Drosophila melanogaster: one gene and its partner. The protein of the gene in region 1 interacts with the protein of each later gene in a pairwise test. Each region holds a gene or a part of one and is shown on either strand. Other genes may lie near its edges.

Evidence for each region.
Region 2: the proteins of Cbp20 (region 1) and Cpsf6 interact in a two-hybrid assay, tested with the Drosophila melanogaster proteins (one large-scale study listed by BioGRID).

What each region holds. Positions count from the first base shown.
Region 1 is NT_033777.3:18,162,520-18,166,035, forward strand, and holds Cbp20 (cap binding protein 20), read left to right. Parts: upstream 1-2,141; 5' UTR 2,142-2,209; coding exon 2,210-2,257; intron 2,258-2,312; coding exon 2,313-2,530; intron 2,531-2,654; coding exon 2,655-2,853; 3' UTR 2,854-2,920; downstream 2,921-3,516. Other genes in the region: CG7218 (uncharacterized protein), read right to left, coding at 1-510, 585-1,195, 1,585-1,783; Prx5 (peroxiredoxin 5), read right to left, coding at 3,047-3,376, 3,507-3,516. UniProt on the Drosophila melanogaster protein: Component of the cap-binding complex (CBC), which binds co-transcriptionally to the 5' cap of pre-mRNAs and is involved in various processes such as pre-mRNA splicing and RNA-mediated gene silencing (RNAi).
Region 2 is NT_037436.4:8,309,907-8,317,699, reverse strand, and holds Cpsf6 (cleavage and polyadenylation specific factor 6), read left to right. Parts: upstream 1-2,197; 5' UTR 2,198-2,562; coding exon 2,563-2,628; intron 2,629-3,023; coding exon 3,024-3,743; intron 3,744-4,548; coding exon 4,549-4,689; intron 4,690-4,949; coding exon 4,950-5,416; intron 5,417-5,626; coding exon 5,627-5,926; intron 5,927-5,984; coding exon 5,985-6,053; intron 6,054-6,473; coding exon 6,474-6,669; 3' UTR 6,670-7,207; downstream 7,208-7,793. UniProt on the Drosophila melanogaster protein: May play a role in pre-mRNA 3'-processing.

The DNA of each region.
Region 1 (3,516 bases):
CCAGGCGGCTAGATTCTCGAAAGAGACCGCTGTATAGATGGCCTTTATCAGGACCACAGCCAGCGGAAATGGAATGAAGCCCATGCGTCTGGCCACCAAATCCGAATGATCTGAGAATGCGTGCTTTTGCCGCGTCTGGGTCATATCGTAGGCCAAGCTGGTCGTGTACTCCCTGTAGATGCTCTCCGGCAGCTCATTGAATCGCGTGATAAACGCATGCTTCACCCAATCGATCAGAATTTCCGTGAACAGCACGGCAAAGCAGTCGGGCAGCATTACACAGAACTGGGTGATGCTCCAGTCAAACTCCTTCATGGTCTGGATGACCACAATGAACAGAAGCACAGACAGATGGAATCGCTCTCGTACATCGCTGCAGGTCAATTGGAACAGGTTGTTTTTGTCGAACTTCTTGAACACGGATCCCTTGAGCTCCACGAAATTATTCGATATCATGATGGTCAGCAGGCCCTTGTTGTTGGAGTTCACCGCCACATTCAAACAGGTGGCCTGAAGGAATAGTTTAGAAACCAAACCAATATAATCACAGAGAAAATGTGGTTTATAAAGCTACCATTACTCACCTGAAACATGATCAGTCCGCTGTGCAAGAAGACATAGATTAGCGTGAAGAGAACGTGCGTAAGCACTCCAAAGTGCTCTCGCTTGGAATTCTTTGGTTCTGTCGCCGTCCAGAAGAGAGCATCGATCGTGTCCTGACCAAAAGCGGACAACAGCCGGTCGCCCACCTCCAGCATGTTGTAGAATATGTACAGCTTGATGATCGACTGTGACTTGATGATGTGGTACACCCGATTCGTGTCCACCAGGAGCATTATCAGCGTCACCGTCATCCAGATGACGCCCTTCAGCAGATCACAGATCTCCGCCGGCGATAGCAGCCTTTGTCCGCTGCTGCGTAGTCGAAAGATTCTTGCCACCGTCCTGGAAACTAGGGCCCAAACGGCCATCACAAATCGGACGGGCAGAAAAGTGTGAATGTAGAGAAATGAGTCGGCGCACTGCATGATCCCGTACACCATGAATCGCTCCAGATCCCGCGGTATGCGCATGAAGCTGTAGATCTTCTGCCTACGCGCCGAATAGCGCTCCTCGTCGTGCTCCAGCATATAGCCGCGTGTCATCTCCACTTTGAAGAAGTCGTAGAATGTGTTTGTGCAGGTTTCGGCGGTTCCTGCAAAAATAAAAGAAAAATGAATGATAAGTATGAATCAAATATAAAGTATATGCATAGATTCTAATGATTTAAGTAAAATAGATAACGATTGATTACAAATCATTGATTATACATCCTTATCCTTAGTTAAAACAACTTCAAAAATTGCAAATTATGATATATTAGGTTTTTAAGAGCTTTATCTGGAATTTAAGTTAATTAAAAATCTCTCTAGAACTTTAAATATAGCATCAAATCTAAGGCAAATGTGTATGTTATGATCAAAAGTAAAGTTGCTATGAAATAGCGCGAAACCCAATTAAAATTAGTTAACGTAAATGTCATCCTAAGAACTAAATAATAATAATTCAAAAGAATGTTTTTCCAATCAGTAAATCCGTGTTTACCGCTCTGCAGTCGCTGCTGCGCTGAGCCCGCTGCCGGCGTCGCAGTCGGCGTCGCTGCAACGTCATCCTGGGCGAGCGGCGCCTTTTGCTTCTGCTCCTCCTGCTGCTGATGATGCAGTTCCTCCACTCGGCTGCCGGTGACGTCGCCGCGAAAGCGCAGCTGACGCTTGCCGCCCGCGGAATTGAGTGTGGCGTTCATTAAGTACGGTGTGCGGAGTCCATAAAATTAACAATAACAACGAGCTACAAAATTTCGGGGTGAAACAGCAGTTATATGAAAATGTACTAACGCGTGCCGAAAATACCCAAACGTAAACAGTGTGTGTATCGAATGTACAGAACTATCGCCTAAAGTAACAGCTTAGTTTATATTATATTAACATGGTTAATATTTGCAATGATTTTTATTCTAAGCTTAAAGAATAAGTTCCCGTTAGGGCCATGAGAGAAATTGATATATAAGTATACAACGAATTTTAAAATAATATATTTTTGCTACCCAGTAAACTTTTTATGCACTAGCTCACCGATTCATATTTCAAAGTGCTATCGAAGTATCAGTCAATAGAGTGCCGTCACTAAATAAAAGCAGAGAAAATATTTCAATAGTTTGTAGCTGAAAAATATGTTCGCATCTGTGGAATTAAGCTCATATCGCGATCAGCACTTCAAGGTGAGTACATCCGAAGGCGCCACAGCAGATCTCCGACTCAATAAACCAATTGCAGGGCTCGCGCTCCGAGCAAGAGCGATCGCTCCGCGACTCGTGTACACTTTACGTGGGAAACTTGAGCTTCTACACCACCGAGGAGCAGATCCACGAGCTCTTCTCCCGCTGCGGCGATGTTCGTGTGATTGTGATGGGCCTGGACAAGTATAAGAAGACGCCCTGCGGCTTCTGCTTCGTGGAGTACTATGTCCGATCGGAGGCGGAGGCGGCCATGAGGTGAGCCATATCCATCTCTCCACGCTAGAAAAAGCCGCCTTTTTTCCGGCATTTGTAGAAGTAATCAGATGGGGTATCATTATCTCTTAACTAACTTCAACACTCTTTTCTTCTCCCACAAAAGATTTGTGAATGGCACTCGCTTGGACGACCGTCTGATTCGTGTGGACTGGGACGCCGGCTTCGTGGAGGGCAGGCAGTATGGACGCGGCAAAACCGGCGGACAGGTGCGAGATGAATACCGCACGGATTACGATGCCGGCCGCGGGGGTTATGGCAAACTGTTGTCACAGAAGATTGCACCCAACACGGACAATCGCTAGTTATTAGATAAAATGACTGTAAAGACTATAAGCCCCCCAATTAGATATTAAAGCATACCCCTTAGACATAACATCTCTAATCGCATATATATTGTACGTTTTACATAGTTCTTTTGAAGACGTAATTGATATCATTGCGGCCTAGCATTAGCATGTATGAGTTTCTAGTGTTTTCGGGCTGACTGGATTCCATTTACTTCTTGCCAATGTTGTTGGCCAGCGAGCAGCTGAGTCCGGTGCCATCGGGCTCGACATTCAGCTCGGTCACCTTGCCGTTCTCCACCACCAGCGAGTAGCGCTTTGAGCGCACGCCGCCAAGTGGTGGCAGATCGATGGTCACATCCAGGGCCTTGGTGAAACCGCCGGCGGGATCAGCTAGGAGGCGCACCTTGCCCGCGGCTCCGTGCTCCTTGCCCCAGGCGGACATCACAAAGGGATCGTTGACCGAAACGCAGACAATCTCGTCCACGCCCTGCTTGGACTTCAGCTCATCGGCGGAGCTCACATAGCCGGGCAAGTGGGTCTGTGGGTGTGGGGAAATGCATTATTCAGTTGGAATACATAAGCTGCATAAATTACACTATACTGCTGGAAGTTTCTACAATATTCGGAAACTCAAAGCAGATGACTTTGCAACTATGCTACCTACGCACCTTTGAGCAG
Region 2 (7,793 bases), on another chromosome or scaffold:
TAAGCTTTTTGTCAGACGACAAATTTCGTAATGTTTTTTTTTTTTTTTGTTTTTTGTTCGCTTTTTGTCGGTTTCTGGTGGTTTTTTTTTTCTTTTTTTTTTTTTGTTTTGTTTGCTGGTGATTCGTGTAAACTGTGCCGACTCGGCATGGAGCTTTGGATTTGGACCCTGGTTGCATGTCAAAGGCGCATGAAACGCGCCAGCCTGCCACAAGAATCAAATGACACTCGGCCTGGTCCATTTCGGTCGCTCCACGGAGTTAAAAAAATTATCCATGCAGTGCAGTTTGTAGCTTACAGTTCGCAGTTTGCAGTATGATATGGTCAAAATACCCAGCAGTGTGTAGCCTTAATTGGCACCTCGACACTTGGCCAGGACCGAACCGAATCGAATCGCATCGAATGACTGCTGCTGTGTAGGTGCACTTGATGGCCGGCTGTGGTGTGAGATTTATGCATGTTCTCTTTGCGTATCCATTGCCCAACTGATGGTGGTGGAGCGGCACGACGGCTACTGGGCAGTTGGAAGCTTGGAAGTTGCAAGTTGGCACTTTGTTAGGCTGCGGCGCCGCTTTTTGATAAAGTATCCCAGCCAATGGTCACGCAATAAATTTTTGACATGACTTACGCACGTCCGAAATGGTCGATGGGGGGCAATTGATATGAGTGGTAGCCATTATGTAGATCTAAGTGATCGGAAACATTCAATAACACTTATACGACTTTTATGATAGCCAGCCAAAGGCCACACGGCGTATGCGCAATATTTTCATAGCAATTGATTTTTATCCTATTATTGTTGGTTATTTTAAAAGCGTGCAGTATATTTAAGATAAATACTACGTGCGTAAGTCTCCTCCCCTTCAATGTTGCACCTTTGAGCCCCAATTCTGTCCCAAAAATGTCAGCGATTAGCCGAGAATTTCAATTGACTGCACCCTCGCCACCAACATCCGTCGATTTCCATCTGCGTGATTGCTCTTGAAGAACCGCCCACCTTGAATTGGAAACACATTTCCACATATGCAAATCGCGAAAATCCAATCTGCAATAGCTTTATTCGCTGAAGCATTTAAAAATCGATTGATTGCTGTAAAGATCGTAATTACCCATTTAATTACTCTTGTTAATTAAACACACAATCGCATGAGGCGAGAGCAGCAAATATAATTGCCGTCCGTTCAGATTGGACGATAAAAGCCAGTGGTAATTGACATTTAAGGCAATTCATTAACGCAACTAACATATGGGAGTCAAAGAGCCAAAGTTAAAAACTAAATACCAACAGGTGGACTACTGCCCAAATACGAGAAGAAAAATGAAAAAACATCAGATACACGAATAACATGGCTAATCATGCACTAGATTTCGGGATATGTGTCTTTTTTTTCACAGGCCCGACTAAAAAATGCTGCCTCGGTTTTTTTTTCCCCCAATTTTTCACCGCGCATTTGCATACGAGTGGCCAAGTCGACGGCGCCACAATCTCCTCGGTTCCCAGCCACCAGCAAGTTCGAAGATTTCGGAGAGCCGAGTTGTTAGCGGCAATTATTGTAACCTGCAGACGGGCCGCATAAATCAGCTTAATTGCTATATTTAAATTCTAAATTTGGAGCTCTGGCCAAGTGCGCTGTCTAGTTGTGCAAGTGACACGGTCAGCGTCTATTTGGACCTGCAAATCTAATATATGCATGGCTATAGTTTTTGGGCAGCATTAACAATTTATGCAAATTAATGTGTGTGTGATGGTGGTCCCCTAAAAAGGCAAATTTATTAGAAGTATGCATATTTAAATTAAGATATGCCTGTTATGGGTGTTGTAATGAATGTTAAGTATTTTCACATGTCGATTTTTAATAACAAAGAACCTAATGAACTTATTACACATTTCAAGAAAGTTCTAACGGTTGGTTTTAAAATTCAAAATTCGATAGAAGTCGATATATTTTCAATGGTTTGTGTCCACGCTACGACCACAGTCAAATTGGAAATTGATGTCAAGTATTTGTGATTATTTTATGGTAATAATAAAGCGATTTAGGTAACAAACACATCTAATTAAATTCTATTCATTAAATATATTTTATCGTAGTTGTATTCTCATTAACTGTCAAATTGCGGAATACCCCAAACAGGATGTGGTATTTTCTAGTATGCGAGCAAAAATATACCGCATAGGTTTTCCACATTTCAGCTTTACAGTCACACTGCACCGCTCCGCCATTTTACGCTGACAATTTTTTCGCAAGATTGAAGAAACTAGTTCGTGCACGAGTAGAATGTAAATAGTTACAGAATTCACCCAACGGAAAACAACGCGCCAAAGCAATTAATCAATTAATTGTGCAGCGGGCGCGATTACCCGGCTAAATCGCGCAGCAGCACGCCGGTTTCTGCTCCGGCTTCCCCCTCCCCCGCAAAAAAAAAGAAACTGTACGAGGCGCGAGTGCAAGTGGGACAGAGACGGAAAGATTGGCGAGTGTCTTAGTGTGCGTGCGAAAATTGGGAAAAGCGGTGAAAAATCAGTAATTACGCCTAGGAATAGCAACTTTTCCGGCTCAACATGGCCGACGTGGTCTTGGATCTGTACGCGGAGGACCTCGACAAGGACTTTGCCGGGCAGGCTCAGGTAAGCCATGGGAAAAAGGCAGTCGCTCTGCAAGCCGCGTGTGTATGTATACAGTAGGGTGGATCGATGTCCGAAAGAATTGCGTTAGGGGGTAGAACGGCGTCTTGGGCGAACTCGACCACTTGGTACCTTGTAAAGTAGGGTTCTAGGAACTGAGTGCAGGGATATTATATTTATATAAAAATGAAACGTAATTTTTTTTAATTTCTTTAGCCATGGAAATGTAGAGAATTGTACGAATCCCAATAACTATACATTCTAAAAATTCTAAAGTAAAAATAGAGTAAAATCGAATTTGTAAAAAAAACAAGACTTGATCGTTTATTTTTAACGATTTTACGGGATTCCCACAACAGTTTGACCCACTTGTTAATTACTTTGCTTTATCCGCACAGGACGAATTTGGAGGCGATGGAGTAGACCTATACGATGACATAGGCGGTCCCACCGAATCGGCCGCCTCAGGTGGCGGGGGCGGTGGAACGCCCTCCGCAGATGGAGCCGCAGGGCCAGGCTCCGGGGAACCCGGCGAACGGAATTCCGGTGGTCCCAATGGGGTGTACCATCAGAGCAGTGGTAGCCTCACTCCGACCATGAATCGCCGCTACCAGCTTTATGTGGGCAATCTCACATGGTGGACCACTGACCAGGATATCGCCAATTCGCTGCGAGACATTGGCGTGAGTGATCTACAGGAAGTGAAGTTTTTTGAGAACAGGGCCAACGGTCAGTCGAAGGGCTTCAGTGTAATCTCCCTCGGCTCAGAATCTAGCCTGCGCGCCGTGCTCGACCAGCTGCCCAAGAAGGAGATGCACGGCCAAGCGCCGGTGGTCACGTATCCCAGCAAGCAGGCACTCACCCAATTCGAGAGTCTGCAAAAGACGCGTCCAGTGCCGCCGCCGCAGCAGAATGGACCGCCCAGGGGTCCGGCACCACCCAGTATGGGTGGCGGGCCAATGCCCACCGGACATCCAGGAGGACCGCAAGGAGGTGGACCACCGGGACATCCACCGCGCGGGATGAACTCCATCATGCAGCCGGGCCAGTACCGACCGCAGCACATGTCGCAGGTTCCCCAGGTGGGCGGACCCAACTCAGGACCTCCACGAATGCAGGTACACAACCACTGTTTTAGCCCCACATGGCCCCAAGAGGTCTCATCGTTTGTAGAAATATCGCTCGGTTCTAATTTGTTTTGTTTCTACATTCCTACATTATTTCCTATTTCCATCAAAATTGTTCTGAATGCAAAATTTGCTTACTTAGGTAAAATTAGAAACCCTAAATATACGACTTCATGTATAGTTTATAAACGAATATGTTCTACTTCAGTTGTTCGATATTCTTTTGTAAATTAAACGTAGAAACTTAGTTTTACAATTTAGAGAAAACAATAACGACTTTAGATGTGAGATATAAACAATCTGAAATATCCGATCTCTTGTTAGTATTTCATTTGATAATTTATAAACTAAACTAAAGCTGTCGTACAAATTAAGTTTCTAAGAATTTTTATTTATGTCTTTAAGTACTATTCTTATTCTTTACTTCTATTAATTCACAAGTAATTTCAGAGCAATTTTTTGTAGCACTCCTCGGCCTAAGGCAGTTTGTATTCTTTTTACTCCTTTTGTACTCTAGTCATAGACTTTCAACAAAAAAAAGCACATGTAATAAATTAAAATCAAGAGCAGTGCCTTCCTGGTTCCACTCAAATAATATATACTTTTGATTTAATTGCGTTAATGTATTTCCCCCCCTAGTATTTGTAATTGTGTATAATGGCCCGCTATTGTTATACAAAATGTTTATGTATTACGATTTATGTTCTATTCCATGTCTTTGACAACGCTTACGCACACTTCTACCCCACAACAACAACTACTACTTCAATATAAAACGTAATTCGTATTAATATAGCCGCCAATGCATCCGCAAGGCGGGCTCATGGGGAACCAACAGCCGCCACCCCGGTATCCGTCAGCGCAGGGCCAATGGCCAGGTCAGCGGCCAGGCGGGCCGCGACCAGGTCCACCGAACGGACCACCGCAGCGACCAATGGTAACAATCCCCAAAGCACTGAGTCCTCTTTGTATCTATGCCATAATATAATTCTAACGAAGCCAGAGAGAAGGCGAGATAAAGGAAGACTAACCCAACTTAAGTTAACCTTAGTTAACTTAGTCTTAAGCGATGTATTCAGAACATTTTCAGTAATTCCACAGATCAACCCATGCAACACAAACTCATACTATAGCTTAGAAACCGATTCGATCCGATCATTGGGAACAGTAAATAATCTTGTCTCTTCTGCCTTGCAGTTCCAAGGAGGCCCAATGGGCATGCCCGTCAGGGGTCCGGCAGGTCCCGACTGGCGTCGTCCACCCATGCACGGTGGTTTCCCGCCGCAAGGTCCGCCACGTGGCCTTCCCCCAGCACCAGGTCCGGGCGGACCACACGGCGCACCCGCACCCCACGTGAACCCAGCATTCTTTAACCAGCCTGGTGGTCCTGCCCAGCATCCGGGCATGGGTGGCCCGCCCCACGGAGCACCAGGTCCACAGCCAGGCATGAATATGCCACCGCAACAGGGCATGAACATGACGCCACAGCATGGACCGCCACCCCAGTTCGCCCAGCATGGACCACGTGGTCCGTGGCCGCCACCGCAGGGTAAGCCACCAGGTCCCTTCCCCGATCCGCAGCAGATGGGTCCGCAACTGACGGAGGTGGAGTTCGAGGAGGTGATGAGCAGAAATCGCACAGTCAGCAGTTCGGCGATCGCCAGGTGAGTGCAAAGGTTTTTAAAATGTTTTCTTTAACGAGGTCAAAACTTGTAGTTATTATTTAAAAACTAACCCATTCCTAAGTCGAATTCATAGAAAATTCCAATTATTGAAACTATGACTCAGATCCGGTCTAATTAATAAATTATCTAGATAATTAATTACTTTGTTGATCAAATATCAATTCCCTTTTTATGCTAATTTATTTTCAGAGCTGTTTCTGATGCAGCCGCTGGTGAATACTCGAGCGCCATCGAGACACTGGTCACAGCCATTTCACTGATCAAACAGTCCAAGGTAGCGCACGATGAGCGATGCAAAATTCTGATTAGCTCGCTGCAGGACACGTTGCATGGCATCGAGGCCAAGAGCTACAATAGGCGCGAAAGGTCGCGGTCGAGGGAGCGATCTCATCGCAGCCGACAGCGACGTGAGCGTTCCACGTCCAGGTACCGCGAGCGATCTCGGGAGCGGGAACGCGATCGGGATCGTGAGCGTGAACGGGATGGCGGGTAAGTTTTGGTTCTACCATGTGTAAGCCTCACACTTAATTCCGTATTCATTTTCTAGAAGCTACAGAGAGAGGTCTCGCAGTAGAGAACGTGAACGCCAGGCTCCAGATCACTACAGGGATGACAGGTAAAGACGTTCTACTTCTAAAAATTCGCTTCACTGTCTCATTTAAAAGTTGCTGATTAATTAATCATAGTGCTTCATTTAAATAGCATAGAACTCATAATTTATTCACTCGTAAACAGATTTTTTACTTTTGCTGTAAAAACAAGTGTAGATTTGTAAAGTCAGACGAAACTTTATTTTAAAATATTTGGAAAAATGTATAATTTATTAAAAGGTAGTATTTTTAAGGTATAGGCTTTTCAAATTTTTTATTTTCATTAAAAGCTTTCTGTAAAGATGTTAGCTTGAATTGTAACTGTTTAGGCTCATCAGAATATTTTTGCTCTTTTGTGCAACAATATACGGTGACAATTAAGCGAATTATTTTTAAGCTCGAAATGAAAACCTTGCGTTAATTTCAATCCCATAATCCGAAAACAGCCGATCGGTGCGTCCACGAAAGTCGCCGGAACCCGTAGTCGCCGAAGCAGCGGAGGCGCCATCATCGAAGCGCTACTACGAGGATCGGGAAAGGTACCGCTCCTCGGACCGTGAGCGACGCGACCGCGATCGAGACCGCGACCGCGAGCGGGAGCGTGATCGCGACAGGCGTGAGGAGCACCGTTCCCGGCATTGACTGCCGTAAGTGGAAGTTGGAACCATCGCCAGTGGACCCGTAATCAAGTGTAAAGATGCAACACAGATATACTAAACACACTCTATTAACAAACAATAAGCCGCAGCTTGGTGGGATGACAAGCTAGCCACAATTAACAGATTTTCGATTTGTATCTAACATTACCAATACGTAGGATATGAATATGGCAAACAGCATAGTTCTTCTAGACATACTATAATAAGCCGAAATGCTGACAAGATTTTACCAACGACGGACGGGGACTGCCTCTGGATCCATCCAACTTCACATCACAGAATCCTGGCAACATCAAGACCGGCAGACCGAAGTCAGCAGCAGTAGCAGGAGGATCGATGGAGAAGCCAAGGGGACAGTCAGCGTGGGACATTATAGACACTGATGCGCACTGGATCATCAAACAACAAACAACTAGCATTCCTGCACCGCCGTCTTCGCAGCAGAATTTCAATATTATTGTACTCTAAAATTTCGGTTTATTTAATAAAACATAAACGTATGAAAAAAAGAATTGTTCCAGAAAAAACCTTTACCAAAACTGTCTTGTATTGTGTGTCTTCTTGTACTCTTATTATATAAAAAAAAAAACATCTTATTAGTTAATGACTTTATAATTGTACAACAAAATTGTATGTAAAAATTACAAAATTATTGCACTTGTGCGTGCAATTAATATGGAAATTGTTATATTAACAAAATCATTTTGCCGACTGAGGCCGAAAATCGTTATCCCTAATGTATTTTCAAATATTTCGCGATCTTTTGTTGTAAACATTCTCCACGCATTTGTTTAATCTTGTTTTTATTTAACAATTAAACTTAAGTCGATCATAATTGTGTGCTTGAGACTGAGTGTGAGTGAATTTTTGTAGCATTCAAATGCCGACTGAATCCATCCGCATAAACGGATGGAGAAAACCATATGTTTGTATAGAATAAGTCGAGTGTGTGCTTTTAGCCCAAATACCATGATTTTTAGACTAAATTACTCTAAAAGAGAAACGTCCCAATCGCATTTATCGTAGTTAACTATACTAACGTTACAAGCTGATGTAGTTCCTAACATAGGTTCCAAGAAAAGAACAAAGTCATTCAGTTCCCCCCGA